Linked DNA regions of Ovis aries. The protein of the gene in region 1 interacts with the protein of each later gene in a pairwise test. Links are inferred from orthologs where the notes say so. Each region holds a gene or a part of one and is shown in the gene's direction. Other genes may lie near its edges.

Region 1 (3,560 bases):
GATGTACTCTGGTTCTGGTTTTCTTTCTAAGGGTAGAAGTGTATCTCAGCTCCATTGGGGCTGTCGTGTGATTCTTTAGCTCTTTTTTTCTGTGCCACCACCTTTGAACACCCTCTTCCCTTTCCCTCGAAATGCCTGCCTTTCTTCCTTCCTCCTCCTAACTCCCCACCCAGTATTTCAGTAACTTTTGTTTTCCTTGACATAGGATAGGCTTTCCTGACTCTTTTGCTCTTATTATCATTTTATGCAGAATTTTGTTAGCATAAACAAAATTTTTTTTATTCCCTCCTCTATAGTCTAATAATTCGTGTTGTTTGCCACATTGTTCTGTAAGATCCTTGAAAGTAGCAGTTGTTATACTGTCATGGTACCACTATAAATTACTGCTTTCAATAAAGCATCTAGAATAAGAATAAACCATTTATTGAATATTTGTTATATGCCTGACACTTGGTAAGAAACATGTTATCCCTGATCTTCACAACACCCTATGTGATAGGTGTTATTGTTATTATGTCCATTTTATAGAGGAGGAAACTTAAGAGATATTTCCAGTGTCTTCAATGTTAGGAAGTGGCTGAGTTGGACTCAAAAGGCCTCTTCCCCATACTGCACTGATACGACCCACTGTGTTACCCTTTCTGAAGATTTGCTTGCATCCTAACAAGAGGATAAGCCTTTAGTTAAATAAATGGATATCTAACTGTGGGAATTTAGAAATCACTAAACCGATCGAGGCAGGGGTTTTTTTGGGGGTTGTGGTTTTTGATTTGGGGTTTTTTCATGGAAGACATCTTTATACCCCCGAAATAAAGATGCATTGCTAATATCCTACTTGTAAGCACACTGGTGTGCTTTATTTAACTGTCATTTCAATGATTTGGATAATAAGAGGGGATAAAGGTGCATATGTTTTAGACAACTTTATTGGCATATAACTAATGTACACTGTTTATAGAGTATGCAATTTGATAACTTTTGACATATTTATACAATTTTGAGATCAACACAGTCAAGTAATTAACATGTCTATTGTCCTCCAAAGTTCCTCATCCACTCCACATCCCTATGCTTAGGCAACCAGTGATCGGCTTTCTTTCATTATAGATTAGTTTACATATTCTAGAGTTTTATATAAATGGAATCATAACACATAAAATTATGTGCACTTTTGATTTGACTTCTTTCACTGAACATATTTACATATTTATCCACATTGTTGGGTATGTCAGTAGTTCATTCTAAAGGTATATTTTGAATTACATTCATTACAGAAAGTAAATAATTATTTTCCTCTATAGTGTCTTATACTTTAGAGGGATTGATTGAAAATTCTTTTGAACCTAAGTCCCTTCTGGAAGTTGTTTTGATGTACTATGTGTAAGTCCTGAAGAGTCCAATGGAGATATTAGAAAAATTTAACATTTCCTTCTGCATTTTTATTTTCAATGAACAGTCTTAGTACACTTAAGATAAGCCTAATGTAAAATCAAGCAAAATCACTTTTGGAATATAATATTGTACTTCTGAAGACTAGCTTCTTGACACTTCTTGGAGAATTTTGGGGGAAAACCCTTCTGTTTGGTCTCATGTAAGTGGGTATCTCTGAAGTGGTTATCACAGAACTTCATGGTAGCATTAGTTATAGATATTAAACGATAAAGTGCTAGCCAGTAAATATGATTTGAATGACTTGTGTTTACACAGTAAGGGATTGCAGTTTGAATGAGAGAGGAGTGTCTTCAACACCCAGTCTTGGATAATTGCATTTCAACCTTGTTATTTAGTAGAGAGGGAACATTTTTTAGACTACTGTTTTCTAAAAAGCAAAATGGTTAAAATCCATTATTATTTTGATTGTAATTTCACTCTTCCCCCTTTTAAAATTTCCAGGTGGGGTTAACACACGTATAGAGATAATTGAGCAACCCAGGCAAAGGGGAATGCGTTTTAGATACAAATGTGAAGGGCGATCAGCAGGCAGCATTCCAGGGGAGCACAGCACAGACAACAACAGAACATACCCATCCATCCAGGTAATAGAATGCTCCTGTGTGTGTGTATGCCTCTTAGTTGCTTCATACTTTAGCTACAGCAATTATTTAAAGATCCAGCTTCTTCACAGTGATCTCCACCAGCTTTTCTTTTCTTTTTTTTCCCTCTTTTTTCTTTTTAATTAATCCCTAGTGGAGAGCGTGCTTGGGACATTTCTTAAGTACAGTGTGGACTCTTCATTCCAGCAGATAGTTATACTTGTGTGTTACTCTAAGTGATATCCAGTGGTTAGTGTACATTGGCAGCTTTTGGATGATTATCCCTTTCATGGGACAAAAAGCTAATGAGGAAAAAGCTTTCTCTCCTTCCAGAGGCGGGCAGAATTGTTCTGGAGTTTAAAAACATGTATTTGGGAACTGACTTAGAATTCTTCCTGCAGTCAGTTGGCTAATCTAGGGGCTATGGATAAAGAAAACATTTTTGTCTTTTTTTTCCTTATCTTTATTGCTTGTCCCTGATACTCTGGGTTGCCTTGACTGATTTGAAATATTGTCACTTTTTAAATACAGTGTTTTCATGTTAGCATAAAATTTGAAAGTAATTTTGTAATCTAGAATGACTTTGGTAATATACTGTATTTATAAACTATGCTATGTTTATATTTGTATATAAATTTTCTTCCATTTTTAATGATTTTTTATTCTTTAAATGACAGTTTAAAACCTTAATGGCAGAGGGCATTTTGAAAAGCATTATTTAATGTTTTATCAGTAGATTTTAAGCTACTGTTTTATAACTACATTATTTACAAAATTTACTCTATTGGACTTTAAGAAAATGCTAAGTTATATAACAAACCAGTAGCAAAATTACATATTGAATTCCAAATTCCAATCTTTTATCACATTTTTTGTTAGCAATGTAGATTTGAGTTAAATCTAAGTCTTTTTTTTTAATATTAAAATGGGAGAGATGTTACTGAAAAGTAAATAAGAAAATAGTAATCCTTTCCTATAAGAGCAATTTTAAACTCTTCTCCATAATTCAGCTTATTCTATATAGTCTCTTAAATATTTCTATGATCTGTATCCTTGCCATAACAACATGTTCTGAACAGCTTTGCAGCTTGAGTTCTACATTAGCCTACCTTTCACTTTTTTTTTTTTTTTTTTTTTAGCTGCAGTACACTGCTTCCAGGATCTTAGTTCCCCAACCATGGATCAAATCTGTGCCCCTTGCAGTGGAAGCTCAGAATCCTAACCACCAGACTGCCAGGGAATTTCCAACCTTATACTCTTAAATTTTTACTTTCTCTTTTATTCAGAAAGGCAATAAATACTTTCTGATTACTGTTCAAATTAAGTTTAAATTCAGAGTTCAGGATTTTAATGCCCTTTTACCTGTGAAGCCACCCATTTTTACTTAACTGCCTTGCTCCCTTGTATGCTGTTTTTTAAATGTTTCCTGCTTTGTGCTTACAAATTTGCTAGCTTCCAAAGTAAATACTAACTCCTTCCCACAAGCTCCTCCTTCCTCTCCCATGTTTAACTCTTCTCTTCATTCTC
Region 2 (4,358 bases), on another chromosome or scaffold:
GTGAAATGTTTCAGGACTTCTCACTCAATTTATTTTCTTCAACATTTTGATTACTTTCTATGTGACAGGGAAGTCTTTTTCTACTATTTTTTTTTTTTTTAAACTTTGCTCCCTTTTGGTAAACACCAAGGCTTGCCTGTCCGAATACACAACCCTTGCCCCTTTGTCTTGTAATCACTGTTTCACTTAATTCCTAGTAGACTTCGAAGCTTCATTTTACCTAGACTCTCATGCAAAGGGTTTTCTTCTCAATTTTTATCTCCCCCCCTCTATACAAGTGATTTATCATATTGCCTATACTATTCTAAATTTTCACCCGCTGCGTTTCTTGTCTGTTCTAGCCCCTGCCTCCCAGTGGAGATTCAACCTGCTAGGTCTGGGGTGGGCAAACTTGCTCTGCTAAGTTCTAGACCGTAAATGTTTTGGGTTTCGTGGGCAGCTGCTCAACTCTGCTGTTAGGAAGTGAAAGTGGCCACAGGCAATACAGAAGCAAATGAGCGTGGCTGTGTTCTAATAAACTTTACGGACATTGAAATTTGAATTTCATATAATTCCCACGTACCACAAACTCTACTTCTTTTGATTTCTTTTAATCCATCCTAAAAAAAAAAAAACATGAAAATCATTCTTAGGCTATACAGTAACAGGCAACAACGAGGGCCTCCGTCAGTCACTCTCAACTCTAAAGGAGGAAGATTGCCTCCTCCGATAGGGATCAAGACCTCACCCCTACCCCAGTGACTTCTCCCCAAAACCTGTATGGTCTCCAGAAGACCGATTCCCATTTTAAGGATTATTAGGGGGCGTGAGAGTAGTACCCCATTAGGACAACACTTTCTCCTGGGCAGGCCACTTATCAGTTTATTTAGGGTGGTAGATATCCTGACAGAGCTTGCAAGACACGGCCAGGCTCAGGCTCCAGCGCAGGAACACTCTGGAAACACCTCCAGGCCCCAGCGAGTCTGCGTGGCGGGGAGCGCGGAGTCAGGCAGGTACTACTCACCGGGCGCTAGTTCGTTCGACTGCTCCCGAGCAAAGCGGCACAGGCGATCGCTACGCGCGCGCCTGTCACTAACCCGCCGCAACCCCTGAAGCTCGTTAACCAAGAGGCGCACAGCCTCTTTCCCCGCTCCCCTTCCGGGTCAGAGGCTGCCCAGGGTAGAGAAGGCCAACCTAGGTTCCGTACCACCTGGAGCGGACGCGGCAGCAGGCTCTGGCCGGCGTTGGGCGGGGCGGGCCTCTGGCGTGCGTGGCCTCGCGCCTGCGCGCGCGATCCTGCCCTGTCCGGCCCTTTCCCGACCAGGGTGCGCGCGGCCAGGGCGGCCCCGGCGCGAGCCTGCGGCTTCCCGGTCCGGCTCCGTCTGGTTCTGCCTCCCGGCGCGCCGCCGTGCGCGCCGCCCGCGCTCCTGCCGCGGCGGAGCGGGCAGCAGGGGAGCCAATTAGCACTCGGCTAGGCGGCGGCCACTTCCTCGTCTGCGGGGCCGCGCGCCCCGGACAGCTCGGTCGGCCACGGGGCGGGGCGGGGCGGGGCACTTCGCTGAGCCGCCTTGCCTGCCTCGGTTTGTCCGGCTGCCGAGAGTAGACACCGGTCCCTGGAGGCGCACCGCTGCAAAGCAGACAAAAAGAAACTGAGGCGCTCAGAGTGTCGGCTGGAGGCACGTTTGGTTGACTTTCCGTGCGTGGTCTTCAGAATCAGCCGCTCCAGGAAGAGAGATGTCGAAGCCGCCACCCAAACCAGTCAAACCAGGTAAGGGAGGTGCTCGGGGGATCCCGGGCCGGTAGCGGTGCCCCGCGCTCCCTCTGCCCCCTTGGCAGGGCAGGTCAGGCACGTACCCGGCCCCGAGCCTCACTTTCGCGATCCACGCACCAGGGTGGGATTTGTTGCGTTCGCTCCAGGAGACAGATCGCAAGATTTTCGAGGAATTTGAAAATTTTCATTTTTAAAGAGGAGTCACCCTCGGTTTTTCAGCGTTGCCATTCGCTGCAGCTTTCCCATCGATGTGATGGCTACGTCCCATTGACGTTTTCCTGGAAAACAGGGCCATTGATCTCCCTTAGGGGGGAGAAAAAAGTCTTGAAATGGTTTTTTCTTCATCCACTTCCTCTTTTTTTTTTTTTCCTTCACTGTGTGTCACTGTCAAGTTTGAGTTCTTGACCGGCCAAAGCGAACGGGAAGTGCGCTGCTTATAGGGTGGGGTGGGTGAGCGAGTCTCCTTTGGGACTTTAGAGAGGAGCAGCAAATTGACCTTAAGATCTTGGGAAAAGCGTTTAGGAAACTGTAGTTGAGCTCCTGACTAGAAAAATCTAGGCTGCGGCAGCGTAATCTCAGTTATTTCTATTCGGAAATGTCACTTTATAGTGCTGAACAAGTCCTTTGCTTTACTCCCTCTGTGAGTTTGTCGAGTTAAACTGGAAAGGGTGAGATTTCCTCAAAGCAGGTCTTTTGGCGAATGTTCCTTGTTCATTTCTTCTTCGATCCCTAGAATATTTTCTGGGACAGGGAGAAAGAATTTAAAAGGGACTGAGGCATTTCAGTTCGATACTGTAAGAAACTCATACCTTCATTGGGTAGGTGATTACAGAAAACGTAGAAAATGGACGAGAAATGGCTCTGACATACTCTCAGCTTTTTTCTTCCTGGTCTTAGGTAACTTCAGTATGTTACAGGCTGAAATCTGAAATCTGAAATCTATTTACATCCAGTTTCAAAGTAACCTTGATTGAGAGAGTCGTTTCAGTGATTGATTTTTTTCTTGATTTTTCTAAACTTTAGTCAAGCTGTTCAACTTTCATCCAGTTCTCTTTCTTCACCATCATGCAGTGGTAGTTCCAAGTCATTTTATTTGAAAATTCTGTACACACTCGCATATGTGACATAGTCAGTCACCCAGAACCTGAATTTTGGTGGACTGGGGTGTGACTTTGCTGGGACTTTGGCTCTGGTGTTTGCGAAGGTGGGACATGGCTAGGATTGGGCTCTGTGTTTCTTTAGAAATGGAGTCTGATGAGGAATTTGCCTTCTAAGTGCCTTTGTGGAAAATGGCAGCTTTTAAAACTTAAGTATAAATCAGGACCTCAAGTAATCAACACAACAGAGTTATTCTTTGATAACTGAACAGAGTACTTTATTTCAGAGAAGGTCCTGAGAAGCCATTCATGAGGTTTTTCATCTCTAGACATTCGGTGATGTCTGTGCTACAGCTGGAGGGGCACGGATGTGATATGTTTTTGTGTATTTGCCTGGGTGTAGGGATCACACTGTGACCAGTTGGAAATACACTCTCAGGAACCATTTTTGTTGTCTGACCTTCCTGCTTTCTCCTTCTATTCAGTAAATCAGAAAGCAAATGGTTAAAAAATGACTACTATTCAGACTCCACATTGATTTGTAAATGAGATCCAAACTAAAATAAGATCACCCTAGAAATAATCTGTCAGTGACCTATTTACAGTGAGAAATATTACTTTTAATCCAACTTGAAACTTTGTGTGGCCTGGCTTAGTTGAAAACAGAAGGGGACTATTATAGTCCTGGCTCTCGTTTACAGTGTGCCAGGCACTGATCTAAGCACGTTCCGTGTATTATCTCATTTACCTCTCACAATAACCCTATGAGGTCAGTACCTGCATTGTTCCCATTTCACAGATGCGGAAATGAAGCTAAGTCAAGAAAGGTCAAGTTAAGGTGCCCAAGATTAGCCACTGAGTGGAGAGGAGTGGGCAGAATTAGAACCCAGGCAGTTTGGCCCCAGAGTCTGAGCTCTTAACTGTGATGTTACTGTGCTTTACATCAAAGCCTACCATTAACTCCTGTCATCATGTGTACTTCCTGGTAGGCAGGAAGTGGGAAGGAGAGTGTCTCTGGTCCTCAGTCAGACTTTCTTGTCCTGTAGGCAAGATAGATGGGTGAAAATGTCAAAAGCAAACTTGGAATTGGAAGGCAGGGTGTATTTAATTCTTAGCTTCTTGGTTTGTTTGCACCCCTGCCTCATCCTGAATGAGACTTGATTAAAAAAAAAAAGATGCAGGAAGTGGGGTCCTATAGAAGGAGGGAAGAATAACAAGAGGAAACTGGAGAGAAAGTTATCTTACAGACATGCATGTTGTAAGAACTTGCAAAGTTTCTAAAGAAGGCCTGTAGATTTGGCTCTTTGCTTCAAGCAGAGAGAGAGAACAGATCAATTACTAAGATTCTCAGTGTTCATAAAATTAAAATGTATTACTTGCTCTGAGAAGAGTTATTACAGTGGTAGTGAGATCTGAAATGAACTTCTCATGGGTGGGTTCTCTTTAAGTATTGCCGTGAACTGGACATCTCTACAAGAAACACAAGTGGGACATCATAATGCTAGTCTTTA

The links.
Region 2: the proteins of REL (region 1) and OSTF1 interact in binary tests that used the Homo sapiens proteins (3 or more experiments, as listed by UniProt). The two-hybrid records come from large-scale screens. The link is inferred for Ovis aries from reciprocal best matches to the Homo sapiens genes REL and OSTF1.

The regions. Positions count from the first base shown.
Region 1 is NC_056056.1:63,118,441-63,122,000, reverse strand, and holds part of REL (proto-oncogene c-Rel), read left to right. Parts: intron 1-1,893; coding exon 1,894-2,036; intron 2,037-3,560. UniProt on the Homo sapiens protein: Proto-oncogene that may play a role in differentiation and lymphopoiesis.
Region 2 is NC_056055.1:61,718,027-61,722,384, reverse strand, and holds the start of OSTF1 (osteoclast-stimulating factor 1), read left to right. Parts: upstream 1-1,526; 5' UTR 1,527-1,713; coding exon 1,714-1,747; intron 1,748-4,358.